7 linked regions of the Xenopus tropicalis genome follow. The protein of the gene in region 1 purifies or fractionates together with the protein of each later gene. This does not show direct contact. Links are inferred from orthologs where the notes say so. Each region holds a gene or a part of one and is shown in the gene's direction. Other genes may lie near its edges. The genes, in order: ezh2, arid1a, smarca1, smarca5, usp44, ddx5 and pabpc4.

Region 1 (3,888 bases):
CCCGGGGCTGGTACATGCGCAGTAAAGTGTTAAAGTTCAGCTTTTCATTCAACCGCACAAGCGTGCGAAGACCGAAGAAGGAAGAGGAGATGCTACCCCTGGCTGGTGCTGTTTTCTTCTCACAGGAGCACCAGCCCGAGGTAAAAGGTAAGCTTAAAGTCACCGGGGTGTGCCTAACATTTTGGCCTTCATCAAACGTTAAGCACCAATGTGCCTTCATCAAACATTAAGCACCATAAACTTTTCTAGTGTCTGTCAAATGATAGCTTATACTGCATTAGAAAAAAAAAAAGTGAGGCTGATATATTGACATGTTTTATTCAAACTGGAAACCTTGACATGAATCACTCATTTCATTCTAGTATTTATTGTAATCACTTTTTGCACTTGAGCTATAATTATCATGAATATAAATGTCAGAGGTAACTCAGCATGAAAAGTAAAAATGTTGTGTTGCTACCAACTGTGGACTCGGCAATTCTCTCCAAACACTCCTTTTATAAATAGGATGATTTTACTTGAAAGTGTATACTTTATGCCCCAGAGCCTTCACCCTGACAAGATAACTGTTATGGAGCAGCAACACCAACAAAAATGCAGTCTGTGTTTGTAGCCTGCAAAGTATGCTTTTTTTAATTATTTATGCATTCTCTGTAATTCAGCATACTAATGGGGAGGTGCAAAGTCTTGGGTTGCTGCGTTTATTTTTTTTTGTTTAGTTTATGTCATATGCTTTATTGTCATTTTCTTACAGACTAGTACTTCAGAAATGAATAAGCCTTTTTATTTTTTAGATACAAGGAATTAACAGAACAACAGCTTCCAGGGGCACTTCCACCAGAGTGCACCCCAAATATAGATGGGCCAAATGCAAAATCTGTGCAACGAGAGCAGAGTCTTCATTCATTCCATACCCTGTTTTGTAGGCGATGTTTTAAGTATGATTGTTTTCTGCACCGTAAGTAGTTTCTATATTAAAGTTTACAATGCAAAATATGCAGTTTAAGGGGCTGATTTATCAAAGTACGCTTGGGTCCGAATACTGTGCATATTTTCTGTGTTTTTTCATTAATTTCCACAACTTTTTTGTACTTTGCGACAATTTGTGTGACAAAATCGTATTTGTCGCAACAAGTACAAAAGTTTTGGAATTCATTCAAGCTTCGGTATCATGACTTTCCTTGGGCCAGGGTGGAGCTGCAGAGTGCCATTGAGTCCTATGGGAGGCACATAGACAGAAGGATCAAAGTCAGAATGTTTTTTGCGCCATTTACGATCGTTCAGATATGAACATATGAATGTCCAAAATTCAGACTTTGATAAATGGGCCCCTAAGTTTGGAGCTATGTAGTGCTAAAACTGTAGACTTCAAATATGACTAAAAAAAAAATTAAGATTTTCAAATAATTTAGAAACATACCAAAAATTGTATTTAGGTTAGCCTAAACATCTACTAGTTTTTTTTATCTAGTTATGTAATTTTTATGTCCGACAAACTTTTGGAGCTCCATTACCTTATGGCTTTTCCATAGTTATCAATATGTCAATTTTTCCATTTTTTTGTACCAAGTTCTTGCCTTTTTTTGTTGGTGGAGATCATGGGGGAATAAATATTGTAAGCACAAACTGATGTAGTTAAGGAAACTGCATGTTGATCAGGGCCCTGTATATGTAAGCCCTTCAGAGTCTAAAAAAATATTGTCTCTGTTTAACAGCATTTCATGCTACTCCTAATACTTACAAACGGAAGAACAATGAAGCAGCAAATGATGGAAAACCTTGTGGACCACACTGCTACCAGCTTTTGGTATGTTGCTTGGAATTCATTTTATATGCATTACTGATGTGCTTATCTAAATCACTGCATTTTAATATATGTAATATGTTGTCTATTACTTCTCAAAGTTTGGCCCCAGGGCTACTGTGCATTGCTGAAGATCCTTTACCAAACATATAAAACAAGCCACTAGCAGTGTCTCTGACCTGGTCACATAGTCTAATAGTAAGGCTTCCAAGCCAGACTGAGTACAGGTTGTGCCTGCCAATTTCATTTTTCCCAAATACTTTCTACTTTACTATAGTGAAGATGTAGGTAACTGAAAAGCTATATCGAATAATATGTTTTTAAAAAATGTTCTTATCTGCATCCTTAATGTCTTGATATTGCTTAGCTGAAGAATTTTGCTTTGTTGTGACGGGGAAAAGAACTTGATAAACAGTTTTAGGGGATTTGTCACTCTTTTCTCTGTCTGCCAATGCAGTTGTTTTTTGCATTCATGCCTTCTTTTCTTTATTTAGATATTTCTTTTTTTGGCCCGTGGCACAATTATGCTGTGAATGGTTTAAAATAGTTACCTCAAACCTAAATAGTCATGACGCTATGTTAAGTGGTACTTTGCCTCAAAACTGTAGTGGTTTCCTGGCTATCTGAAAGACATTTATTTGGCACTACGTTATCTCCTGGGAAATTTGTAGACACAAAGTGTTTTGAGAAAATCTTTTTTCCCAGTGATACACTCACTAGAATGAACAATACAGCTGTATGGAAAGCTTCTTTTCTCTGGAGTAATATAAACAGATGTATGTGTTTTTTGTAGAGTTTCATTCTAGGCTTTGGCTAAAAATATTATTCTCAGAGGGCAATGTAGCTTAATTTTGTCTGTTACTAGTGCAAACTGTTGTGGGTAAATTCATGTTAAAAGATTCCAAAACCTTATTTTGTGAACAATTAATTTTCTTATCACAACGCAATAATTTGCGAAGACAAAAAAAGCAACAAAAAACTCCACCTCAGGCAGGCAGTTACATAGACAGAGCTCACTGTTGAGTTCAAGCACACTCAAAGGTTAAATCATTTAGAAAGAAATACAGTTAAATAGATTTATACTGAGTTTTTATAGCCTGCCCTAAAGCAATTACAGTTAAAGAAAAAAAAAAATGTATTCTCTTGTGAAAAAATAAACTTGCTTTGTCTTGTATTGCATGTACAGTGGCTTGCAAAAGTATTCGGCCCCCTTGAACTTTTCCACATTTTGTCACATTACAGCCACAAACATGAATCAATTTTATTGGAATTCCACGTGAAAGACCAATACAAAGTGGTGTACATGTGAGAAGTGGAACGAAAATCATACATGATTCCAAACATTTTTTACAAATAAATAACTGCAAAGTGGGGTGTGTGTAGTTATTCAGCCCCCTTTGGTCTGAGTGCAGTCAGTTGCCCATAGACATTGCCTGATGAGTGCTAATGACTAAATAGAGTGCACCTGTGTGTAATCTAATGTCAGTACAAATACAGCTGCTCTGTAACGGCCTCAGAGGTTGTCTAAGAGAATATTGGGAGCAACAACACCATGAAGTCCAAAGAACACACCAGACAGGTCAGGGATAAAGTTATTGAGAAATTTAAAGCAGGCTTAGGCTACAAAAAGATTTCCAAAGCCTTGAACATCCCACGGAGCACTGTTCAAGCGATCATTCAGAAATGGAAGGAGTATGGCACAACTGTAAACCTACCAAGACAAGGCCGTCCACCTAAACTCACAGGCCGAACAAGGAGAGCGCTGATCAGAAATGCAGCCAAGAGGCCCATGGTGACTCTGGACGAGCTGCAGAGATCTACAGCTCAGGTGGGGGAATCTGTCCATAGGACAACTATTAGTCGTGCACTGCACAAAGTTGGCCTTTATGGAAGAGTGGCAAGAAGAAAGCCATTGTTAACAGAAAACCATAAGAAGTCCCGTTTGCAGTTTGCCACAAGCCATGTGGGGGACACAGCAAACATGTGGAAGAAGGTGCTCTGGTCAGATGAGACCAAAATGGAACTTTTTGGCCAAAATGCAAAACACTATGTGTGGCGGAAAACTAACACTGCACATCACTCTG
Region 2 (3,888 bases), on another chromosome or scaffold:
GCGAGCGGATCTCTGCGTGTATGGGGACCTTAATTGTTTATAAAAGGAGTTGTACTGCAATATAAAATGTGATATATTTGATTGTACCCACTTTTCAAACCCTTTATGACATAGCCCCCATTTATTCTGTGATTTCAAGCGGTAAAAAACAAAAATGCTATTCTTGTTAAACTACCTTTGCCTGCTCCTATTTTTCCCACAGATGTCTCCATATACTCAGCAGGGTCCTGGGTCCTACTCTCAACAGAGCCAGTCTCCTTACTACAACCAGCAGAGCCTCCACCCTCCCCAGCAACCACAGACAACACCCCCACAAACCCAATATTCCCAGCAGCAATCAGGTCCTCAGTCTTATTCGCAGCAACAAGCTCCATCCTCCCAGCCAACCCCTACTCAATCGGGACAGCCCACATTTACTCAACAGCAGTCCCCATCCCCTTCACCGTACACTCAGCAGCAGGGTGCCCCCACCAGCTCACAGAGCCAGTCACCATATACCCAACAAACTGGCCAGTACACCTCTACACAGCAGCAGGTTTCATCTTATCCCTCGACAGGAGCACAACAATCGGGAACATACTCTCAACAGCGGTTTCCTCCACCACAGGTAAGACTAAGAGCTGTAGAACAATATTATCTGTTCTTGTAAATGAGTACTGCCTTCCACACCTTGTATTTGTCCTCCAGACATTTCTTGTACTTTAAGCACATTTAATGTTTCTCTCAGGAGCTCTCTCAGGATTCCTTCACATCACAAGCATCATCCACACCTTCTCTGGGCTCAAGCAAAGGCCAGGATGACTTGAGTATGGGAATGCAACCACGGCCTTCTAGTCTACCTGTAAGTAAAGTTCTTGTGTAAATTTCATTCTTGTTGGCAATTTTAGTGAAAATTGATTATCTACACGTTATCAATATAATTCTAATGTTTTAAATTGCATATGAGACCTTATATTCAAATTTCAGAGTTACAGAACTAATTTAAAATCAACTTCAAAACTCTCAGCACTGTCTAAAGCAAAATACATTTCATTTGTAGGTGCATATTTTCTCATCTCTTTACCAGTTATCCTTCAGTCTGTAATTAAATTGAGCTCAACTGAAGGTCTTAATACAGTATTTCTAGTTTGTAATCTGCTTTATTAATAGAATAGAACTCAAAGAAAAATTATACATTTTTAGATTGAACTTTATTTTTATTGTTAATTTAATTCATTTGTGTTGCATTATTTGTAATTTTAACACTTTTTTTTGTTCTAGGATCTTTCTGGTTCCATTGATGATCTCCCAATGGGTGCAGAAGGAGCTCTGAGTCCAGGAGTCAGCACATCTGGGATCTCCAGCAGCCAAGGCGAGCAGAGCAATCCTGCCCAGTCTCCTTTCTCACCGCATACTTCCCCACACCTCCCTGGCATTAGGGGTCCATCCCCTTCTCCTGTAGGTTCCCCAGCAAGTGTGGCACCATCTCGCTCTGGACCCCTCTCTCCAACTGCTGTCCCTGGTGAGTGCAGGGATGTCCTAAACTGGGGGTGGGGCGGGGGGGGGGGTGAAGAAGCACAGTTAAAGTGAGGATTAATAAATGATTATAAGTATGTGAATTATCTGGTTATAAATTGATAAGTGTCATTATGCTTTTTATGGAATTGTACATAAAACTTTACTGTTAATTTTACCTCTTCAGGAACTCAGATGCCCCCACGGCCCCCTAGTGGGCAGTCTGATGGCCTGATCCACCCTACGATGAACCAGGCTAGCCTTGGACAAGAGCGAGGTTTGTGAAGGTCTATAATGGACAGAAAAGACTGAGCTGTGCAACACTGCATTTATAACCATTTTTTCTTCTGCAACAGGATACATGCAGAGGAATGCACAGATACCTCAATACGGATCCCCTCAGCCTGGTCCTGCACTTTCTCCCCGCCAGTCAACAGCGGCACAAATGCATTCTGGGATGGGACCCTATCAACAAAATTCCATGGGAAGCTATGGTCCTCAGGGAGGACAGTATGGACCTCAAGGTTAGTGTTTTGCCTTAGTAGCTGCTTAGTCCCCACTAGTGTCTGTGGTTTTCTTAATATTCTTCTCGTTTTTTTTTTTTTTCTTAACATAGATTCCCCCCCTTTTTCCTCTTTCTCTCAAGCCTTTAATTTTAACTGCTCACTAGGGCTTAGTTACCAAAAGAACTAAGCAACAGTTTGGAAGTCAAAATAAAGAACAGTAGAGGAAATGAAAGGAATGTTTCCATGCTGGAGAGATGCAGAATAGGAATGACTCCTTTCTAAATAATGCATCTTTACACTTCTAGTATCCGCTAACCTTTGGGGGTCCGTATTTTCAGGATACTCTGTAGCTCTAAAATACATTGCCATCCTCAGTAGACTTCTAAGATGTACCAACTAGTCAAATGTAAATAATATGCATTTTAAAGGGATGGTATACACCTAAAAACCTTTGCTTAAAAGTAACACAATAAATGGGACTTTTGTTGAGGGTACATTCTGTCTATCTTTAAAGAAAAAACATACTTTAAGGGTTAGCAGACCGTAGATATTTCTTAATTAAAACAATTGGCAAAAAGTACCTTCAGCACAAGCCCTATTCATTTGAGCTCATGATACAAAGAAGTGTATATTGTCCCTTTAAAGGACATGTAAAACCCCACACACAAAAATGTAATCAGTGAACAGCCTCTTTGAAATCTTTCAATATCTGCCACCCTGGTTGTACTGGGGTTAATAGTAAGGCTGCAACATCCCCTTAATCACTTAGATTTCCTTCTCCTCCTGTAACCCACTCGGCCCCCTCCCTCAGGTATTTGCTTTGGCTGTTGGCTGGCGGGCATGCTCAGTTGTTCTAAGCTCAGATTACAAAACACGCCCTCCAGTCTAGCAGCCAGTGAAGAGATGGCATTGCTGGTTCCCATAGAAACTCAGCTCTAGCTGTCTGCTTCTGCTTTGCTTGAGCACTGTAATGGTAAAGCGGAGCTCAGGAGAAAAAAAATGAACTTTAATCAGACAGTTGTGCCTGTGTGAGCCTGTATTCTTGATGAAATGTATGCTGAATAAGGGTCTGTGTGTGTATGCTGTTTGCAGATTTAAATGTATATGATTATGTATCAGGGGAAAAATAGCCACCGGGTGACAGCTGCTATTTGCTTTAGGAAAATGTGATGGTGCTAGAAAAAAGAGGGGAGATATATGCAGTACAAATGATGCCATTTGGGTGGGGGAGACGTGCCCAACTGATATACATTGTAGGCAAATGTAAGCTTTACATGTTCTTTAATATCTGGGTGTTACTGTTATTACTTGAGCTGTGCACTGGATGTTCAGGTAGCCAGTGGAGTGCATATATTTGTCACATTGTTCTGTAAGTATATGCTTAAAATTGATTATATGCCATGGTACCATTTTATAGGCACCTTTTATATAGAGCACTTGCTCTTTGCTATATGAACTATGTTTCTAATGTTTTGTACCCTTCTCAGTCACAATTTTCCTTTTCAGCTAGTTATATTCTTAATGAACCACATTCACATTACAGCGAAGTAGTAAAATCTTGTAGGTTGGGGGTGTGGTATAAAAAAAAAATTATATGTAGATTTGTTTTTATTTAATTCTATTCATAATTGAATAAGTGTAAATGTTCCCACACTTTTATAATATCAGATGTCGGTGGGGTGTAGCTGGAGCAAAATGGTTTTCTTTTTTTTCTTTTTTTTTTTTTTTTTTTTTTAAAAAGATTCAAGACAAATTGCTAAACTTGCAGCATTTAATTCTTTGGGGTTTAAAAAAAAATGTTTTTAGCCTATAGAGCTATGTTTTAGCAACTGGATGACAGGGAGGGAATTTTTGGGGTGTTTCTTATTCCAGTACAAGTTAAAGATCA
Region 3 (3,480 bases), on another chromosome or scaffold:
GTACAGTTTATTGGTTAAAAAAAAAAAGGTTGGTTGGTACAAGGGGAATACCGTGTACCATATGTGATGGTGTTATTTGTGTTTACGTTTGGTTTTCCTTGAACAGGTGGCTGGATCACGGTGTGGCTGATTGGTCATTCATTCATCTGTCGGGCCAGAAGTAGAGCAACAGTTAAAAAACCTGGATTGCAGCTGGGCTTTCCCAAAGGCAAGGTGGGAGTGCATTGGTTTGGTGTTCAGGGCATGCGGTGGCCAGGGGTCTGGTCCCCCCTGCTTCAAAAGGCAAAGCCCGGGAAGCGCCCGGACATTTTGGTAATACATGCTGGAGGGAACGATATGGGGTTAGTTCCTCAGAGGGAGTTGGATAGGATAAGGCGTATGTTTCCGGACATAGTGACCATCTGGTCAGAGATGGTGCAGCGGTTAGTGTGGAGGCATGCCAGGGATGGGCAGAGGATGGAGAGAAGGTTCTGGAGGGAAAATTACCCGGTTATTATTGGAAGGATGGGGTCCATTTGTCGGAAGTAGGGACTGACTTGTTTAACCTGGCACTGGGTGAGGGTAATGAGAGGTCCCTAGTAAAGCTAGTTGGCGGGTCATGGCGTCCTTGAGGAGTCAAGCAGCCAAGCCTGTGGCAGAGGGTACCTTACTCCGTGCCCCCAGGGGGAAGTTTAAGGGGGGTACTTGTCAATGAGAGTGTAGCCCAGTTGGCCTGCAGTCCTGATCGGAAGGCAGTTAGCCTCGGTTTAGGTTGGGGGAAAAGGTGGCAGTAACCAGGCGTTTCATTTGGGCGCAGGGCCAGTCCCTGTGAGGCGAGTAAGGATTGTCGTTACTGTAAATGTTGGTTACTGTAAATGTTTGTTATACAAACGGTTTTGTACAAATTAATAAAGTTACAAATGTTAACTGATGTAAAGTTTTATTGTTAATAAATAAATAACTGCAGTCTTCTTTTCCCAGCTACAGTGTCCAAGTGTGTTGTTTGGGTGAATGGGTTAAGGGCGTGGGGGAAAAAGGGGGGGGGGGGGGGTAAGGGCTGCAGACTCAAGGCTGCACCTGTCATGGTCCCGGGAGGTAAGGGTTTGATTGAGACCTACTTTGCTTCTGCTTGCCCATACCAGTAGGGTTTTTATTGGGTACTATTAACAAGTATTCCAGTTTCTGAATATTATGTGTTGCAATTTTTAAAGTCATTTTACTGTTCATGTTATTAGCAAACTAGTTAATAAGGCTGAAGCCTTTTAAATCCACCCTGGGATCTTAGGGACAGATGTATCAAAATGCCCCTGAGTGTCTTCTTCATTTAAAATATAAGGTAAGGGGAAGATTGTACGTGATTATGATGAAAGGCTGCCTTGAAGAAAACATGCCTACCATTGGTTTACTGTTAGGTCACAGCTAAATACCCTAAGCCCAAAGGAGTTTACAATATATATGTTTCTGTTAGGATGAAAAAATGAAATTTGCAAACTGTGTTGTCATGGTGTTGCCATTAATTCCAAATTGCTTCAAGTTTAATGGCATGTAATGGCAATAATATTAAATTGTTTCGTATATTAATGGACACCTAATGGATGGAATGTGGCAGACAAATCATACAGTAAATAATTATTAGAGTTGGAAGTGTTTCATGCTACGTGACATTGTTTTATGTTTTATTCTTGCCATTAGGAGCTGCAAAGACGCTGCAATACTCTTATATCGCTGATAGAAAAAGAAAACCTAGAGATCGAAGAGAAAGAAAGAGCAGAGAAAAAGAAACGACAGCCAAAGCCACAGGTAAAAACTAACTATAGGGTTATTAAGTTGTGAAAAATGCATTGTTTATTTTTTTTAAGTTGCCTTTTATGCACATACCGGTTAATTTTAAATGTTAAAGTTTCACTGATAACCCTCGTGCAGTTAGTTAGGGATTGCTATCTTTCCCTGAAAACACTATTACTTATTGTATCTTTCATATCAATGAGACCAACTATAGCAGTGGTAGTAATATTATATTAGTAATATTTTAAAGACAGATAAGGCAAAATATGTGATGATTTCACATATCGTGACAGACATGTCAACAAAAACAGGTACTTTAATATAAGTAGATGCATGGAGGGGGAATCTAAATGGTAAATTAACATTTCTACATATCTGCAGCCATATTTATATTTGTGTTTCTGTCCTTGGATTTGGTTCTGCTTAGTTCTAATTATGTTTATTGTTCTTCAAAGATTTCCTTATGCATTTCAAATTTATTGTAAGATATTATTACAGTTTCTTTTTACCTTTTTTTTTTTTTGTTTGTTTTATTCTTCAGCCCTCTAAAAGAAAAGCAGACGTCGTACCTGACAGTTCTGGGAAAAAGGATGCCAAGAAAGCAAAATCCTAGTGCTAAATAATACCATGTATGTTATTATTTGTTGGGTACTAACAGCCATTTAATGTCCTGCAATGAGTTAATGATGCACATGTAAGGACTCTGCTGCTCTCTCTGTGCGTTAACAGAATAGCCAGAATGCATTCAAGTTTTGGCAGAATTTGTATATTTTATGCTTTTATGTATCTAGAAAATGTGTAGTATTTTCAGCTTTTCCCATAGTTACATGCATTGTATTTTGTGACATGTTTAACCAGTGCAGAGAGTTTTAGCTTTTGTATGTTTTATACTGTATGCTGCTGCTGCTGCTTTGAAATAAAAAGTAAATCTCTCCTGTGTCACCGTTGGTTTCTTTCTACAGAGAAGAGCACTTACATTTTAATTATTATTCCCAGGCTCAATAAACTGTTAGTGCTGTAAATACTCTCTGCCTTTGTTACTGGAAGTGGAAATAGAACATTAGCTGGAGCTGTTAAACATTCTAGAACTTTCACGTTGATTATTATTGTTAGGAGTCATGCACTGTCTAAACAATTGCTAAAAGCTCTTTTACAGATGTAAACAGCTCAATCTCTTTCTTTACTATTAGCCAGAAATCAGAAATACTTTTAGATATAACAAACTCCTCTTTTAACTTATTATCATTATTGTAAATAATATCTGACATGTAAGGATTGCAACTACTAAAAGTTGTGGCTGGACATGCAGCCACTTCATTTATAGAATTATTTTTAATATAAAAAGGTACTTTTTGTATTCAGTGGATTTCTATGGGACAGACTAAGGGGCTTAATGTTTGTGTTTTAAAGGGTAACTCCGCCCAAACACAACTTGAGCTTTTTGAAAAGTAAACATCATTTAACAACTTTGCAATATACATCACTTAAAAACTATGTAGCCTTTTCATGATTTTAATGATGAGAAAAATACGAATTCAAAGTTCTATACTCTATAGATTTTTAAATAAGTAAGCAAGTTTATTTGCAAATATGAAAATGACACTAACATGAATTTTGATGAATAGGCCTCTAGAATTAACCGATCTTTAATAAATCAGACCCTGTATTTGACATGAGCTCAGAAACAGCCTAGCTCACTTTATGGTCCCTGTAAAA
Region 4 (4,590 bases), on another chromosome or scaffold:
GGCGCATGCGCATTTGAGTGAAAAGCCAACTTCTCTGTTAAAGTTCGGCTTTTCACTCTACTGCGCATGTGTACGCGAGCGAAGCCGGAAGGAGGAATCGCTGCTACCCCGGGCTGGTGCTGTTCTCTCCGTACAGGGGCACCAGCCCGGGGTAGAAGGTAAGAGATTAAAGTCACTGGGGGTGCCTAACATTTTGGCTCCTCCAAGTGACTTTGCCTTTCCCTCTCCTTTAAAGTTTGACCACAAGGGTGTTTGAGTATTTTGATTATATTACACTAGATCAGTGATCCCCACCAGTGGCTCGGGGGCAACATGTTGGATGTTGCTCTCAGTGACCCCAAACCAGGGAGTTATTGTTGAATTCCTGACTTGGGGGCAAGTTTTGGTTTAATAAAAACAAGATTTCCTACCAAATAAAGCCCCCTGTAAGCTGATAGGGTGCATAGAGGCCCCTAATAGCCAATCACGGCCCTTATTTGGCACCTCCATGAACTTTTATGGTGCTTGTGTTGCTCCCCAAGTCTTTTTACATGACTGTGGCTCCCGCGTAGGAAAGGTTGGGGATCCCTGGACTAAATGTTCATTTTTCTTATTCCCTTGTAGCTTTCAGCGCCAATCTGTGTTGTTTATTTGAGGATCCAGCTTTGAAAAGCTGTGAATCAGATCGGCAAACTAACCTTTTTAAAAAGTGAACTTATCCTTTGACTATTCCCAAACTTCATATAGCATACACAGGGCGGCACTGGAAAGCCTGATTAAGGGGCAGAATCAGCCCTGTATAGAGCCCCAATGTTTCTCATAACAGCCCCCTGGGCAATACCTTAGTTTCTTAGTATAGCCTATTCTATCTCATACTAATGGTATTCCTAAAATAACTTGAAATGACCCCTTATTTTGAAAGACTAGAAGTTCACGTTTACTAGGGTGTGAAAATGAAAAATATTTCATTTGTAGATGTTTGGTTTAAGGTACATTGTAGAAAACAATCCCCATTCTCAACCTACATGACAAACTCCTAAGAGGGCAGAGTACAAACCCGCTAAATGCGACATACACTGTACCCAACCATTGACAACAAACTATTCTCGCGAGATTTTAGGCAGAAACATCCCCGTAAACCCGGCAATTTAGAAGCCCGCCCCTTTTTTCCCGCCTCCCATTCAATCTGTAGACACGCCCATTATTCCACTCTTGCGCGGGTACAATAGTTTTTTTTATGCGCGCCGCCGCTGCCTCTGCCATATGGGCCACTCGCATCACCCTAGCGTAGGCTTGCGGGGCCAAATCTCGCGGGATCTGGTCTCGGCTCCCTAGTAAAGCTTAGATCTCGCGAGATCTCAAACGGATTGGTGCGTTTTTTTCCCCTCTCCCTGGTGACGCGCGCTGTCGATCAAAGAGGGAAAAAGCCGGCACATTGCGAGTGCGCTCTCCTACGCGCCCCCTACGCTCTCTTCCTAGTGGCTCCCGCCAGCAGCGTGTGGGATTACACACGCATCCATTCAAGGATCGCGCTTTACTCCGGGTTTCTCATTAAACCCCCTGCCTCGTTGTGTGAGCCCCGCGTTGGACGGACGGTGTTAGTAGATCCTGATCATGTCCGCGGAAGGCACCGAGCAGCAGCCGGCTCCGGACACCGTAGCGAAAGAGGAAAAAGGAGAAGCAAAGGAGGCTATGGAAGTAGATACGGGCGATCAGGCGAAACAAGAGCCGGGCGGAGACGCAGTTAAAGAGGAAGCGATGGAGGTAAGAGGAGCCGGCCCAGGCAGCACGCACTTTATGGCTCCTACCAAGGAACTCAAACTTCTTCTTTATCTTGAACGTCATTATTTTAACCATCTCCTGGCCGCTGAGAGTTGTAGTTTTTCAGCAGCTAGATATGTCTTATCTGCTCATTCACTTGCGTATGTGAGAACCTGTAGAGTTAAAGCGGACCTCTCTGTCCCATTGAAATGTCCAGCCGTGAGTGCGCATGTGCGCGGTAGCCGGGCTTCTGCCTCACGGTACCTCTCATTTCCTATATATATATATATATATATATATTATAAGTATTGGCTAGGTGTGGTGCTTCGCACTCTCTTAGCATTGGGCTTCTCATTGTTCCAAAAGTCATTCTAAAGCCCCAGCGGCTCCTCCCAGTACGGGGCGTGGCTACTGTTAGTGCTGGTCGCTCTCCAGGCCTCCAACTCTTTGTTAGCTGACATGCTATACTACATTTCCATCATCCTGCTGCCAGCCTTTCTATCGGCTCACGGAACATGTACAAGGAGTAGTGCCGATATCTGTGGCCTCTTACGTAATTTTTCTAATGGAGATTCTTATGTGTTCCTAGTTCACTTACTGCTGATCATTTATCAGCAATCTGCATCTGGACAGTAACCCATAGCAACCAATCAGAGATGAGCTTTTTTTCATCCTTCTTCAGTTAGAACAATAATAGCAAACTTTGATCGATTGTCATGGGTTAATGCAAGGGTGCAAGTTTTAACCAACTTTATCAAATAAACTCTACTCACTTTTCTCATTTAAGTTATTAACTGTATGCAAGATCTTTTCTGCCCTTGATCTAAATTAGTTATCTTTGTGTTCCTGTTTTTCAGCCTTTTGGCTTTATTTTTATTCGCCTGACTTATTATAAATAGTTGATGGAATACTGTATTTCTAAGCAATCAGTTCTCCCTGTTCAATGAACAGCTGTTTGTAGTCAGTCCCTGTTTATTGGGCCTGTGGGGACTGTTTGGCTTTCTTTGCACCTGATAAACCAGGGTTTATTTCATTTCCCAGTCCAGTCATTTAATAGTTCTTGCCAGTGTTCTCCCCAGAAAAAAAATAAATGTGATATAGCTGAGGTTAAGGGGGCTTAACCCATTTATTATCCAAATGGGTAAAAGTCCAGCCCATCTGTTCCACTTCCTCCGTTCCCAGGCCATGCAGCACTTTGCACTGTAGGATTGAAGCCAATCAGCAATTAGGCTGACCTGATAGGGAACTGAAGCCTATCTGTGCAGAGGTGTGTGTGCTATCCTACTGTGCTTCTGGCAGGGAAAGTTAGAACATGCCCACACTGCATTTGAAACACAGGCAGGGACCCGAGAGAATCTATAGGAAGCTCTGATAAAGGGTTCATTTTTACAGATAGTGGTATTAAAGACCAAAGTGAAACCAGCACCATATAGTATTCATAATTGCCTACAAGATTAGAGATTTTTTCATTTATCCTATGTCTCCTTTAACGTCTATTAGCCCCTTTATTAGGGGGCAAATCTAAATACATAAGTACCAGAATATATACATAATAGACATTTAAGGACTTATGAATAGACGTTTAAAATTTATGCACTATAACCAGTCCGTAATCCCATGATTTTCAACAGTGGAAAGTCACAAATTCAGTTACATTACCAGTTTTTACATATCTCTTAAATTTAGACTAAAGGCCCCCTTACACGGGCCGATAGAAGCTGCCGATATCGGTCCCTTGGACCGGCTCGGCAGCTTATCTGCCCGTGTAGGGGCAGAAACGAGCGGGCTGGCCGACCGATATCTGGCCTGAAATTGGCCAGATATCGATCGGCCAGGTTAAAAGATTCAGTCGGATCGGAGGCCGCATCAGCTCGTTGATGCGGTCCCCGAACCGACTGCCCCATTGCTGCCTACATAATCCGGTCGTTTGGCCCCAGGGCCAAACAATCGGATTATTTTTTTTTTTAACTTCAAGCTAGCTCAAGTGTATCGCTAGTAGGGAAGAAATTGCCAGCCAGGTAAAAATAGGCCTTGGTGGGGATAAAAATTAAATGTTCCTGCCCCTAAAAGAAAAACTTTAACAGAAGCTAAGAGGACTGTGTGCTTCTTCAAATGCATCGCACTGTCCTTCCAACTTCTGTAACAGAAATTTCATCTACATAAGAGGTGGGGAAAACTTTGGCTGTTTGCCTTGTGTAAGGAAATAAAAAGGGCAGATTTGTTATTTGTTCCCTGAAATCGCGGAAGTTTCCTCTCAAGACAACTTCCGCTATTTCAGGGAAATCGCGGCGCCACGTATGCCATCCCACCGGTAATTTGCATTTTCGCCAGTGGGATGGCATTTCGGGGAGATTAGTTGCCCGTGAACAGGGAGATTTGTTGCGGGCGACTAATCTCCCCGTGTGCCAGAGCCCTTAAGATGACCACACACGTGGCGATTTTTGATCTTTCTGTTGCACGAAAGATCGTTCCAACCCACCCTGACATTCAGGGCTGAATCATCAGATATGGAAAAGTAGAAACAATAGGATTTCTACCTCCTTCTGTCAATTCAGCCGTGAAGGCAGATTTTACTCAGGCGCCTTCAATGGCGCCCGATCAAAATCTTTTAACCCGCCCGATCGGCGAGTCGATATCGGCAGCCTTCTGCGATATTGGTCGCCTCGCTGAGTTGCCATACACGCACTGAATTCAATTTTTTTTTAAAAACGCTTTCCTTTTTTTCTGTAGTAATAAACTTATTAATCCTTATTGGAGATAAAACAATCCTACAGGACTTATTTAATATTTAAATGATTTTTAAATTGATTTTAAGTATGGATATCTAAATTACACAAAACACCACGTCCT
Region 5 (3,888 bases), on another chromosome or scaffold:
GGGCCTTCTTCACCTCTTGTATCGATTATTGATTGCTTTATATGTTACTCTGTATGTCCAATGTATGAAACCCACTTATTGTACAGCGCTGCGGAATATGTTGGCGCTTTATAAATAAATGTTAATAATAAATAATAATAGCTGCTTGGCCTGTCATTCAGTTCAGTGGAGTCCACCTTGTCCCTGTTGTGCCATAGGTCTTAGTTTAGCGGGCGGATCTGCTCGTGTATGGGGACCTTTAGGGCTCTGGTACACGGGGAGATTAGTCGCCCGCGGCAAAACTCCCTGCTCGCGGGCGACTAATCTCCCCGAGTTGCCTTCCCCCTGCCATCCCACCGGCGAACATGTAAGTCGCCGGCGGGATGGCAGACGCGGCGGCGCGATTTAGCGCAAATGTCTTTTTCGGCGATTTCCCGAAATCGCGCCGCCTCTCAGGCTTTCTGACCACAAGATTTGTTTATCTCGTACCCTCCTGTTTGATTCAGTGATCCCCAACCAGTGACTCATGAGCAACATGTTGCCTAAGAGCAGGTGCCCATTTTTACATTTCTGGCTTGGAGGCAAGTTTTGGAAGCAGTTTTACTCCAAACAGAGCTTCCTGCAGGACAGCAGTCCATGGGGCTACCAAATAGCCAATCACAGCCCTTTTTTGGCACCCTAAAAAACTTTTTTCATGCTTGTGTGGCTCACCAACACTTTTTACACCCGAGTGTGGTTTACGAGTAAAGAAGGTTGGGGATCCCTGGTTTAATCCATTTGAAAAAAGTGAGAGTAAGGGCTCTGGCACACGGGAAGACTAGTCGCCCGTGACAAATCTCCCTTGCGCTTCTGGTATCATGCCTTTTAGGAGCATGGACAGCCAAACCAGACTGTACATCTAATTTTTCAGAGAAGGGATTGCTTCTTAGGTTTGTGTAAATAACAAGGCCAGTTTTTCTGTGCTACGTACAGTTCAGCAGGAAATGCTAGGTTATCACGACCCTTTAATAGCGGTGTTTCACCTACCCTAGTAATTTACAAAGTGGGGCGAACACAGAAGCACTGATAGTAATTGCACAGATTTACAGCAATTTACACTGATATAACAATACTGTGTGCTGTTCTTAAGCTTTTATTTGGTTTGTACTCGAGGCAGTGATGACAGTTTTTGTCTACTTTTTAGAATGTTAACTATACACCAATTCTGTCAGTTTTCACCTTTAGAACAGCCACTGGTACCATGTATTCTATCCAATTAAATGTGTTTTATACATCCTTTAGACTAAAGTGTTTAGTTTGAGTTGGATTGCATTCTTACCTAATGAATGGGCAAGTTGCATCATGGTGGCCCTTTATACAGTACTTAGCAAAGGTAAAGCATATGCATATATAATGCAATTTAATGCACACAACGGTGATCAGTCATCTTTTATTTGTGACGTTTCAGCTACTCCTGCTGATTTCCTTATTTTTATCAAGAGCAGATTATAGGTTAACTGTAATAAATTCTTGTTCTGCTGAGTAAAAGCAGTTGAGATTAAAAATCAGCACAAGAATTTGTGCCTCTAGGAACCTTTGTGACCTGTACACTTCCCAGCACCAGTTTAGCTTACTGCTGAAATGAGTAAGTTTGCTATTTTAGATAAGCCCACATAGGAGAATTTGGTTCATGCATAGGGCTTGTCTAGTCTCACATTGTACCAGTACTCATTTACATTCCGTTTAGCTTGCATGACCCAAAACTGAATCTTATTTGAAGATAAAACACAGTTAGGGCTCTGGCACACGGGGAGATTAGTCACCCGCGACAAACCTCCCTGTTTGCGGCAACTAATCTCCCCGAATTCCCATCCCACCGGCGAAAATGTAAGTCGCCGGTGATCCCACCGGCGACTTACATTTTCGCTGGTGGGATGGTAGTTCGGGGAGATTAGTCGCCCGTGACAAGAATTTGTCGCGGGCGACTATTCTTCCTGTGTGCCAGAGCCCTTATAGTATTTAAGTGACATCAATTTAGTTGCTGCATGATAAGTTGCTGTCAAATTCCCGTAAGACTTATGCCTTATCAGGCAGGGTCTTGGCCTGCAGATAAAAGTATGCCAAGAATCTGCTCCTACGCTTGTGTCATCACTCTACTGTGGCTTGGATAATGTATCCACTACTATAAGCACCTCAGTTTTTATTTGTAATAATAGTTTGTTTGTGGACTGAGTGATCTCATTCCCCTTCACCTCATAAAGAAGCAGGTCATGAAATTCCAAGGTAACTGCTTTGGAATCAAAATATATAATTAGGAGTTCTTGGCATCCTCTACAAAAAAGATAAAGGTAAACTGCAGCCTTCCAGCAGGATGCTGGAAACTGTTGTACAAAAGTAGTTTATGATCTTAGCTGTCCTACAAGCAACCATACAGCCTGTACATATAATCTGTATTGTCCAATAATTTGCCCTTTAATGTTTAACTAGTCTATGTCTTTATAGAAAGTGTTCTCTCTGTATTTGTTAGGTTTGGGTAAAATTTAGTTTGTGTGATATGTGATACCTGATGTGACTTAATTGAAAATTTCTTTATTAATATACCACTAATAAATTTTAAAGACTTGACATATATTTAAACTGGTGCCAGTGGAACTCTTCTGAGGAGGCAAAGATCAGCATACAGGGGTTGTCTTTCTATGAACTAGTGTGCCAGTGCGGTTTGCAGAACATTATCTGGAATTATTTTGTTGACAGGGTAGTTTCCATAATACCACACACAGTTTTGTTCCTGTTAAAAACACTATAAAAATGCTAGTTTTTCTTGAGGTATGTGTAAACACACTTGGCATTTACTATCCTTTATTTAAACTAATATGCATGCTGTCGCTGGCCTCACAGTTCTTTATTTAGCTTAGTGTTATTAAAATCCCACACCAGGATTCTCTGTCTTTTACTCACTAATGCTTTACTTAACATGGTAACACTAAGGACTCATCTGTTTTATTATAAGTATTGTTATAGGTGTCTACAAATATTTCTAGAGATATACATAACTAAGGTTAGAGAGTTTTACTCAAGAAGTTACATACAGGTTTAATAATCATGACTTCTTGGTGTATTTTGCAGGTCAGAATGTATGTGCAAAATGCAACAGATCAACTGCAGCTTAGCTGACACCTGAATCTGAAAACTGAAAATGGATAAATGTAAACATGTTGGCCGATTGCGTCTCGCCCAAGATCATTCAATTTTGAACCCTCAAAAGTGGCACTGTGTGGATTGCAACACTACCGAATCCGTGTGGGCTTGCCTAAGCTGTTCACATGTTGCGTGTGGTCGATACATTGAAGAGCATGCACTGCGACACTTTCAGGACAGTAAGCATCCTTTGGCTTTGGAGGTTAATGAACTTTACGTTTTTTGTTACCTCTGTGATGATTATGTTCTCAATGACAACACCACTGGTGACCTTAAACTTTTACGAAGCACGTTAAGTGCTATCAAAAGTCAGAACTATGACTGTACAACACGTAGTGGTCGGACTTTGCGGTCTATGGTAACTGCAGATGATTCATTCATTTCACATGAAGGTGCACAAGCCTTTCTTCAAAATGAAGACCGTGCATTCACTGCATTGTGGCATCGGAGGCATGCTCTCTTAGGGAAGGTTTTTAGGTCATGGTTTGCTTTGACTCCAAAAGGCAAGCAAAGGCTAGAAGAGGAACGCTTGAGGGAGGTGGCAGAACAGAAGCGAGAGGAAGCAAGGAAAAGGCGACAGCAGTTGAAGCGCAAATTAAAGGAAGAAATGGAAAGCACTCCCCCTAGAAAAAGTTCACGTTTGAAACAGCAAATGCAACCTTCCCCCAAAACTGAATTGCCCTCTGTGCAAAAAATGAACCAAAAATACACTCCTACCACAAAACAAAAACC
Region 6 (4,396 bases), on another chromosome or scaffold:
CAGTGGGGAGGAATTGGCAGGGACAGAGTGGGGAAGGAATTGGCAGGGACACAGTGGGGGGAATTTGCAGGGACACAGTGGGGAGGAATTGGCAGGGACAGAGTGGGAAGAATTGGCAGGGACACAGTGGGGAGGGGAATTGGCAGGGACACAGTGGGGAGGAATTGGCAGGGGCACAGTGGGAGAAGTGGCAGGGACACAGTGGGGAGAGATTGGCAGGGGCACAGTGGGGGAGGAAGTGGCAGGGGACACAGTGGGGAGGAAGTGCAGGGACACAGTGGGGAGGAATTGGCAGGGACACAGTGGGGAGGAATTGGCAGGGCACAGTGGGGAGGAATTGGCAGGACACAGTGGGGAGGAAGTGGCAGGGACACAGTGGGGAGGAATTGGCAGGGCACAGTGGGGAGAAGTGGAGGGCAGGCAGTGGGGAGGAAGTGGCAGGGACACAGTGGGGAGGAAGTGGCAGGGACACAGTGGGGAGGAAGTGGCAGGGGCACAGTGGGGAGGAAGTGGCAGGGGCACAGTGGGGAGGAAGTGGCAGGGACACAGTGGGGAGGAATTGGCAGGGACACAGTGGGGAGGAAGTGGCAGGGACACAGTGGGGAGGAAGTGGCAGGGACACAGTGGGGAGGAAGTGGCAGGGACACAGTGGGGAGGAAGTGGCAGGGACACAGTGGGGAGGAATTGGCAGGGCTCCTCAGCAGTAGGAACAAAACCTTGAGCGGGAAGGCTCAAGCACTTACTAATGGGGACTGTATGTAGCCCGTATATGTATGAGGCAATATAGTTGTACCCATTGGGTGTGCCTGGCGGGGCTAATAAGGGAACACAGCCTTACTGGCCTTGCCTCATCCCACGCAACACACACTGACTAACATGAGCCACAGATAATAAAATTCCGGGAAAAGGCGCATTGCCGGTCACATGGTCACATCGCTTAGTCTCTGCCGCCATCTTTACTTTGGGCCGGTGTCCCGCTACCAGTACGTGGTCGATATCCCGCTACAAAAGCGGGAGCAGCCGCTGCCCCACGCTCACGGTTCAGTTTGCAATATCGTTGGGGCGGAAGCCAGGAAAAAGGTTAACACCGAGCGGCTGGTCGGTTTTTCTACTTGTTGGACAGGTTTCCCTGAAGCAATATGGCGGCGGTAGGTCAAGGCCCCGCCCCGCGGAGGAATATGGTGACGTCAGTTGCCGGCCGGCCTTATATAAGGTGTGTGCGCGCTGCGTGTTACTTCCCTTCCTGCCGAGCCCTCCCGTCTGTACAGCCGCTCCCGGAACGCCCTTTGTGTAACGCCATGCCCGGATTCAACGACAGGGACCGCGCCCGGGACAGGGGGTACGTACTCGGGGGTCTCCCCGTGAGGTGCCGGCAGCTTCTGGCAGAGGCCAGTGGGGAGTTTGTTTGGGCTTAATGTTTCCGCCCGATGGCGGCTGGTACGGTAGGTAGGCATTATGGGATGTGTGTGTGTGGGGGGCCCATGAGTAACGGGGCTTCCGAGCGATGGATTGTATTGTTCGGCTCCCGGGAGGCGGGGCTCGGCGAGACAAGATGGCGGAGGCACCAGTTGCGGCTCTTTGTCTCTGCACAAAATGGCGGCGGGGGGGGGAAGGGCTCTCCTTCTATTGCCTTGTCTGGCGCTTGTACTGCCCTCCGTACTTGTACTGCCCTCACTCCCTGCCGCCTCCCCGCCGCCTCACTCCCCTCTCCCCGGCCGCCTCACTCCCCTCTCCCCGGCCGCCTCACTCCCCTCTCCCCGGGGCCGCCTCACTCCCCTCTCCCCGGGGCCGCCTCACTCCCCTCTCCCCCGGGCCGCCTCACTCCCCTCTCCCCCGGGGCCGCCTCACTCCCCTCTCCCCCGGGGCCGCCTCACTCCCCTCTCCCCGGGGCCGCCTCACTCCCCTCTCCCTGCCGCTTTATTCTTTTATCTTCCTTTGTCGCTATTTATCCTGGCAGCTGTTTATCTACCCGGGTGTATTCCCCTGGTACTTCCCCCATAGCAACTGCCCTATTGTGTGGCATCTCTATCTGCCTGGGTATATTCCCATAGCAACTATCCTATTGTGTTGCACCTTCTTGTGCTATCTGCCTGGGTATATTCCTTTGGTACTGCTCCCATAGTACCTGCCCTATTGTGTGGCCTCTGTCTGCCTGGGTATATTCCCATAGCACCTGCCCTATTGTGTGGCCTCTGTCTGCCTGGGTATATTCCCATAGCAACTGCCCTATTGTGTGGCATCTGTCTGCCTGGGTATATTCCCATAGTACCTGCCCTATTGTGTGGCCTCTGTCTGCCTGGGTATATTCCCATAGCAACTGCCCTATTGTGTGGCATCTGTCTGCCTGGGTATATTCCCATAGTACCTGCCCTATTGTGTGGCATCTGTCTGCCTGGGTATATTCCCATAGTACCTGTCCTATTGTGTGGCATCTGTCTGCCTGGGTATATTCCCATAGTACCTGCCCTATTGTGTGGCATCTGTCTGCCTGGGTATATTCCCATAGTACCTGCCCTATTGTGTGGCATCTGTCTGCCTGGGTATATTCCCATAGTACCTGCCCTATTGTGTGGCATCTGTCTGCCTGGGTATATTCCCATAGTACCTGTCCTATTGTGTGGCATCTGTCTGCCTGGGTATATTCCCATAGTACCTGTCCTATTGTGTGGCATCTGTCTGCCTGGGTATATTCCCATAGTACCTGCCCTATTGTGTGGCATCTGTCTGCCTGGGTATATTCCCATAGTACCTGTCCTATTGTGTGGCATCTGTCTGCCTGGGTATATTCCCATAGTACCTGCCCTATTGTGTGGCATCTGTCTGCCTGGGTATATTCCCATAGTACCTGCCCTATTGTGTGGCACGCTGCTGGCATATCTGTGTAGTGTCCCCTGGGTATGATCAGTCTGCCTGTAACCAGGAACAAGGTGTACTTGCAGAATATCCCTGCTGGGTTTATAGACTCTCCTACAGTTGCCCCATGCTGGGGCAGAGCTCTCACCTAGCAGTACCTGCAGTCTGGGTGCAACTGCTCCTTGCACTGCTGATTAGGCAACCACTTGGCACCTCCCTCTGTCGGTTTATGTAACACTGGCACGGCATGCCCTCAGGGAACCTACTTGGCATATACCCAGCACAGTTCAGTGGCCATTTTGCATAGGCCTCTCTCCCCTGGGGTTCTGCGCAGTAATGGGAAGGAAGGTGATGCTTCTAACTTAAAAACAAATTATCATTTTCCTGATGGCTTTTCTGGGTCTGATTATGGGCCTAGTGAGGTGCCAGGATGGAATCCTGTAAAGGACCAGGACTGGCATTGGCTGCACTAAAAATAAATGCTTTTTTCTGGCAGTGCCCATTTGTTGTGCCTGCTCATGGAATAGCTGAGGGCCGCACCTCTGTTAAATATACTGCCTGCCAGATATGTGTTGCATCTGATCAGTGTGTGCTGTCTCTGCTCTAAAGCTGGCCACACGTGGTCGCACGAAAGATCGTTCCAACCCTCCACTGACGTTCAGGGCTGAATCGTCCGATAGAGGTAGAAACAATAGGATTTCTGCAGATTCAGCCGTGAAAATAGATTTTGCTCAGGTGTCTTTAATGGAGCCTCCTGCGATCTTGCCATACACGCACCGAATATAAACAAGGTTGGTGTGTGTATGGCCAACTTTACTCTGGGGCTGTCTGAGAGTTGGCTTTGGAGCCCAGGCTTCTCTTTGCCAATGGTGGGATCTCCCCCTAAAGCAGAGTAGTTTGTAGCTTCCTGTGTATTCTTAGTGACTGCATATGAATGGCCCCTTGCATATCGGAGAGCATTGTCCTGCTCTGCATGGCCATTGTCAGTAGGGCAGTACCAAGCCAGGAGTCTGCTTTGTCGCCCAGTTGGTTCTTATTGTTTGCATTGACCCTTTTGTCTTATATTCAGATTTGGAGGTGGTCCTCGCTTTGGGGGAAACCGAGGTGGTACATCTGGCAAATATGGAAACCCTGGGGAGCGGCTTATGAAGAAGAAATGGAACCTGGATGAACTGCCCAAATTTGAGAAGAATTTCTATCAAGAACATCCAGATGTTGTGAGACGGACACCGGTGAGTTTGCTGCCTGATTGGGATGAACCAGCTTGGCACTGGGTACCTCTCACAGCTATCTGCACATTAGGAAGGCTTCTTATTGTATGTTTCAGCTAACATGGGCTGTGCCCTAGGTGTATGGCACCATCTTTTCATAGAAACTGCCTGGCTGGCTAGCACGGGTGGTTATTATGTATTGTAAATGATTGCTATGGAGATCAGTGCTTTGTCCTGTCCTGCTGCTGTTGGATAGGGTGGATATTTACCTGGGACATTCCTTATGGAGAGATTTGGGTGCTCTAGACCCCTGTAATTATAGTAAATAAATG
Region 7 (4,358 bases), on another chromosome or scaffold:
GTAAGTAAATGGGCCCCTAGGTGTGATAGACAGGCAGGGCTATTTAGTGAGCCGCATTTGCTCCAACCAGGATTGTAGAGGCATTATAAGCCGGGTATAATACTGCCCAGAGTAGGGTTAACAGTGTACAGACCTAGGGTTAGATAGTGATCACCCAGGTTCCACTGGAAGCATATACCTGAAAGCTGGGAGTTAACCCATTGTGCCCTGCAGCTAAAGGGTCAGTGTGACATATTCTTGTAAGTACTGCCTATGCTGTGAAATGCTACTGCCTGCCTATTCTGTAATTACTCCTAAGTGGCTGTGTAAATAAACAGTTCATGGTTTCAATGTTAAGAACCACTGGCGCCCATTTATTGAGAAATACAACACATATCCACCTGGCCTCCATACAAAGCGAGGGCTCACCCCTATGGGATACAGTCTCATCCTGGGTAAAATACGGTGTAGCTTGTGGTAATTAAAGGGCTAATTTACTATAAGCTTACACATGAAACACAAATTCTATTTTTTAATAACACATCCATACCCATTATAAAAGCATTTTAAAATCCCAGCTGTCAATCATACCCCCCCCCCCCCCTCATCATCATCTAATTATGTAGCCAGTGCATGGGCCTGGGCATCTGTGGATTCTGGCAAATGCCAGAGGGGTTACTGTAAAACAGCGACAGACAGTCACTGTTGGGCTGAAGGGGGCTGTTTGGGCTCTGTGTACTTGGAATGCTAGGGGCCTGTTTTGAATCCCATGTCAGGCCTGGCCACTGTCAATAGTTCCAAAGTGCCAAAAGCCACAATAGCTCTTTATTGATACTTGGGGGAGGATGCCAAACATTTTGTTTTAGGATGCCAACTGAAGGCCTTTCATTGGAAAGCTAATAATTATATAAGTTGTTGTAAATTGAAACTGCCTGCAATTGTTATCCTAAAACAAATATATCTGCATTGCTTATACTAGCAATCTTAGTTATTAGGGCAGTGGCATACAGAGCATTTTAACCACCAGAGGCCATGTCAGCTAAAATCAGTATTTTGATTAATGTACATGAGTTGCTAAGAATTACATTTTCTTTCTCTGTGGAAAAAGCTATTTCAGGAAACTTTTTATAGACGTAAATATTTTTGGCTGAAGGACCAATACAGCTGTGCTTTCGTATATATTTTAAATGTTTATAGCCACTTGACCTCTAGTTATCCAATGAACCGGCTTATTGTACAGTCACTCGGATCACATTTCCCTAAAGAGTAGCTGAAAAGAGCGGCAGAGCCAGATTTTCTTTAAAAAAAAATTGCGTCCTATGTCCTACACTTTGCATGCTCACAGACTGCCACACTTAAGATGGCTGCCGGGTTAGTAGACGTTCGGTGGCACGTTGTACGGCTGGAGGTCCATAGAGGGCGCTGTGCGCTCAAGCTCAGGGTTAGTGGTGGCGCGACCCGGATATAAAAGCTGCGCAGCAAGTGACAACCGGTCTCTTTTGTCCTCGCTGTGGTGCGGGGAGCTGGCTAGAGTTTGCTGCCTGATGGTGATCGAGTAACAGGGCAAACCGATCGTGCACTGAAACATAAATATTTGGGTTGCGCCTGTGAATTGTCTTTATAAACATACGCTCTTAACCCGCCCTGATTCATTCGTGTTGCATATTTAGGTACATTGATACCGCAGACGCACCGCTGTTCTTGCACTTTATTAGGCCAGTTATTTAGCGTCTCCTGTCTACTCCTGTTACCATAAGGCGGCATTCGCAACACCTGATAGGAATCTTGGCCAGCAACATACATTAGCCCCCCGCAGATACCACAGCAAGCTTTTAAACATCCACTACGATCGGTGCCAGCCCAGCTCCTGCGCCTCTACATCTCAGTTGCTGGAGTGTATAGGCAAGTCAAAGCAAGCACTTCCCTGACTTACCGAAGCCTTAATATTTATTACATCTCCTGTGGAGATCATATTCAATTTAGCCGTCCGGTAGTTGGTCGCTGCCCCCTGGCTGGGTGATGCACACAGCTGCTAGCAGTTACCCCATGGCGTCCCTTTATGTGGGGGATTTGCACCCCGATGTTACCGAGGCCATGCTCTATGAGAAGTTCAGCCCTGCGGGACCAGTCTTGTCCATCCGTGTGTGCAGGGACATGATTACCCGCCGCTCTCTGGGCTATGCCTATGTCAACTTCCAACAGCCTGCCGATGGTGAGTATGGAAATCTGCTTTTTGACAGGATGGATGTCTGCTTTCATGGTCACTTTGCAGTTGGTCTTTTTGTGTTGTTTTTTTGAATGCTTTCATGGTCACTTTGCAGTTGGTGTTTTTGTGTTGTTGTTTTTGAATGCTTTCATGGTCCCTTTGCAGTTGGACTTTTTGTGTTCTTTTTAAATATTTTATTCTGAATTTATATAAAAGGTGGTTACTCCAAAGTCTAGGTTTCTAGCAAGTGTATTTGGTCCCACTCAACCTTTTTTAACTTTGATACATTCGTTTGTCTTAATCAATCTGATACATTGCAAACATCTCACATAATGTTATTCATAGGCTATAATTAAGGATGTATTTACACTTACAAAACTCATCAGTTAGTAATGTGTTCTCAGATGCAATGTCCTATTTGTTCTTCAGGTCAGATGTGCCCCTTTTGGTTCATTGCATCCCAGTGATTTATCCTTCCATGTACAGCACCCTTTTTACAGCCACCTCTAAACTCCAAAACCAGAGAGCTGCAAAACACAACATTAAATGATATAATGTAAGCCCATGCCATATTATTATTTTTCATTATTATTATTATTATTATTGCAAATGGAATAATCTTGTAATATAACCCCGTCAAAAATTCTCTACCGTTTTTTAATTAGAAGCCTTTGTATTTTGTATCTTATGCTATTCCCCTGAATTGAGTTCTGATCACAGCTCCTGGAAACCTATTGTGCCAGTGGTTGTCCTGATGTGAAAAAAGTAGAGGACTGTTCTGTACTAGACTTGAAAAAATAAAACAGAAGCAGGGACTGTACTATACTAGACTTTAAAAAAGTACAGGAGCTTGTTTACTGGGTTGTCATTGGCCAGTTGCTGATAAGAGCAAGTCAGTCACAGATAAGGAAGTAAAACATGAGTAGAGCGTGAAACACACCCACTCCTCATTCAGCTGCAGACACTGAGGAGTACAGAGCTCCAGTTAGCTGTTTTAACTGCTTTGCCATCTGATTTTTTTTTTTTTTTTTATTAGAACAACATCTCTCATAGTGCTTTCCTATCATAGGGCTATATATAAACCCTAAGTCAAGGTTTTGACTTTATATCCCCATTATTGGAAAATTGTCTAGCTATATTTAGAAGTGTATATGAATCAAGAAATAACCAAAAAGGGTATTTAAGATATTCACTATTGTTTGTTTCAGAAAAAATGTATCTTTAAAGGTGTTAAACGGTATGGCAGGTTACAGCAGTGTTAGGATTAGCAATAAGGGCATTGCATATATAGGTATGGGATCCCTTATCCGGAAACCCATTATCCAGGAAATTTCCCAAAGGCCATTGCCTATAGACTCCATTATAAGCAAATAATTATAATTTTTATAAATTATTTCCTTTTTCTCTGTAATAAGAAAACAGTACCTTGTACTTGATCACAACTAAGATACAATTAGTTCTTATTGGAGGCAAAACAAGCCTATTGGGTTTATTCAATATTTAAATGATGTTTAGCAGATTTAAGTTATGGAGATCCAAATTACAGAAAGATCCCTTATCTGGAAAACCACAGGTCCCGAGCATTCTGGATAACCGGTCCCATACCTGTACCAATAATAGTATGTTGCATATGATAATGGAGGTAGTAATAGTCACATAAATTATCTATCATGTGCAGTTCAGTACCGCAAGGTCTATAATTTTGTTTTTATAAATGCAAAGTAACTTTATCCATTCCCATCTAATACTACAGTCTTTTTACATTTATATAAAAGTATTTTGATGACTATCCTTTACTATAAATGAATATGTATTAGGCTGATGCCCCACGGACAAGTTAAGGTGCCCATACACGTTAAGATCCGCTCGCTTGGCGAGGTCGCCAAGTGAGCGGATCTTGTCCCGATATCCCCACCTACGGGTGGGCAATATCGGGGAAAATGTAGGCTAATTCGATCAAATTATAACGGCAGCAATGGCGCAGTCAGTTCGGGGACCGCATCAACGAGCCGATGCGGTCCCCGATCTGACTGAGTCTTTTAACCTGCCCGATTGATATCTGCTCTAATTCAGTCCAGATATCGGTCAGGTATGGCCGTCGTTTCTGCCCCTACACGGGGTGATAAGATGCCGAATCGGTTCAAGGGACCGATATCGGCAGCTACAATCGGCC

What was found.
Region 2: the proteins of ezh2 (region 1) and arid1a purify together in Homo sapiens (affinity purification with mass spectrometry; 3 studies listed by BioGRID, with this or other methods). This does not show direct contact. The link is inferred for Xenopus tropicalis from reciprocal best matches to the Homo sapiens genes EZH2 and ARID1A.
Region 3: the proteins of ezh2 (region 1) and smarca1 purify together in Homo sapiens (affinity purification with mass spectrometry, with the first as the bait; 3 studies listed by BioGRID). This does not show direct contact. The link is inferred for Xenopus tropicalis from reciprocal best matches to the Homo sapiens genes EZH2 and SMARCA1.
Region 4: the proteins of ezh2 (region 1) and smarca5 purify together in Homo sapiens (affinity purification with mass spectrometry, with the first as the bait; 3 studies listed by BioGRID). This does not show direct contact. The link is inferred for Xenopus tropicalis from reciprocal best matches to the Homo sapiens genes EZH2 and SMARCA5.
Region 5: the proteins of ezh2 (region 1) and usp44 purify together in Homo sapiens (affinity purification with western blotting; 3 studies listed by BioGRID, with this or other methods). This does not show direct contact. The link is inferred for Xenopus tropicalis from reciprocal best matches to the Homo sapiens genes EZH2 and USP44.
Region 6: the proteins of ezh2 (region 1) and ddx5 purify together in Homo sapiens (affinity purification with mass spectrometry; 4 studies listed by BioGRID, with this or other methods). This does not show direct contact. The link is inferred for Xenopus tropicalis from reciprocal best matches to the Homo sapiens genes EZH2 and DDX5.
Region 7: the proteins of ezh2 (region 1) and pabpc4 purify together in Homo sapiens (affinity purification with mass spectrometry, with the first as the bait; 3 studies listed by BioGRID). This does not show direct contact. The link is inferred for Xenopus tropicalis from reciprocal best matches to the Homo sapiens genes EZH2 and PABPC4.

The regions. Positions count from the first base shown.
Region 1 is NC_030682.2:55,156,082-55,159,969, forward strand, and holds part of ezh2 (histone-lysine N-methyltransferase EZH2), read left to right. Parts: intron 1-794; coding exon 795-958; intron 959-1,715; coding exon 1,716-1,807; intron 1,808-3,888. UniProt on the Homo sapiens protein: Polycomb group (PcG) protein. Catalytic subunit of the PRC2/EED-EZH2 complex, which methylates 'Lys-9' (H3K9me) and 'Lys-27' (H3K27me) of histone H3, leading to transcriptional repression of the affected target gene.
Region 2 is NC_030678.2:77,712,645-77,716,532, forward strand, and holds part of arid1a (AT-rich interactive domain-containing protein 1A), read left to right. Parts: intron 1-202; coding exon 203-607; intron 608-727; coding exon 728-841; intron 842-1,260; coding exon 1,261-1,501; intron 1,502-1,681; coding exon 1,682-1,771; intron 1,772-1,850; coding exon 1,851-2,018; intron 2,019-3,888. UniProt on the Homo sapiens protein: Involved in transcriptional activation and repression of select genes by chromatin remodeling (alteration of DNA-nucleosome topology).
Region 3 is NC_030684.2:50,382,841-50,386,320, reverse strand, and holds the end of smarca1 (probable global transcription activator SNF2L1), read left to right. Parts: intron 1-1,671; coding exon 1,672-1,779; intron 1,780-2,305; coding exon 2,306-2,377; 3' UTR 2,378-2,703; downstream 2,704-3,480.
Region 4 is NC_030677.2:59,238,558-59,243,147, reverse strand, and holds the start of smarca5 (SWI/SNF-related matrix-associated actin-dependent regulator of chromatin subfamily A member 5), read left to right. Parts: upstream 1-1,444; 5' UTR 1,445-1,593; coding exon 1,594-1,743; intron 1,744-4,590. UniProt on the Homo sapiens protein: ATPase that possesses intrinsic ATP-dependent nucleosome-remodeling activity.
Region 5 is NC_030679.2:56,838,731-56,842,618, reverse strand, and holds part of usp44 (ubiquitin carboxyl-terminal hydrolase 44), read left to right. Parts: intron 1-3,084; 5' UTR 3,085-3,154; coding exon 3,155-3,888.
Region 6 is NC_030686.2:51,533,283-51,537,678, forward strand, and holds the start of ddx5 (probable ATP-dependent RNA helicase DDX5), read left to right. Parts: upstream 1-1,280; 5' UTR 1,281-1,298; coding exon 1,299-1,339; intron 1,340-3,922; coding exon 3,923-4,085; intron 4,086-4,396. UniProt on the Homo sapiens protein: Involved in the alternative regulation of pre-mRNA splicing; its RNA helicase activity is necessary for increasing tau exon 10 inclusion and occurs in a RBM4-dependent manner. Binds to the tau pre-mRNA in the stem-loop region downstream of exon 10.
Region 7 is NC_030678.2:91,019,768-91,024,125, forward strand, and holds the start of pabpc4 (polyadenylate-binding protein 4), read left to right. Parts: upstream 1-1,506; 5' UTR 1,507-1,998; coding exon 1,999-2,191; intron 2,192-2,614; exon of another isoform or gene 2,615-2,741; intron 2,742-4,358.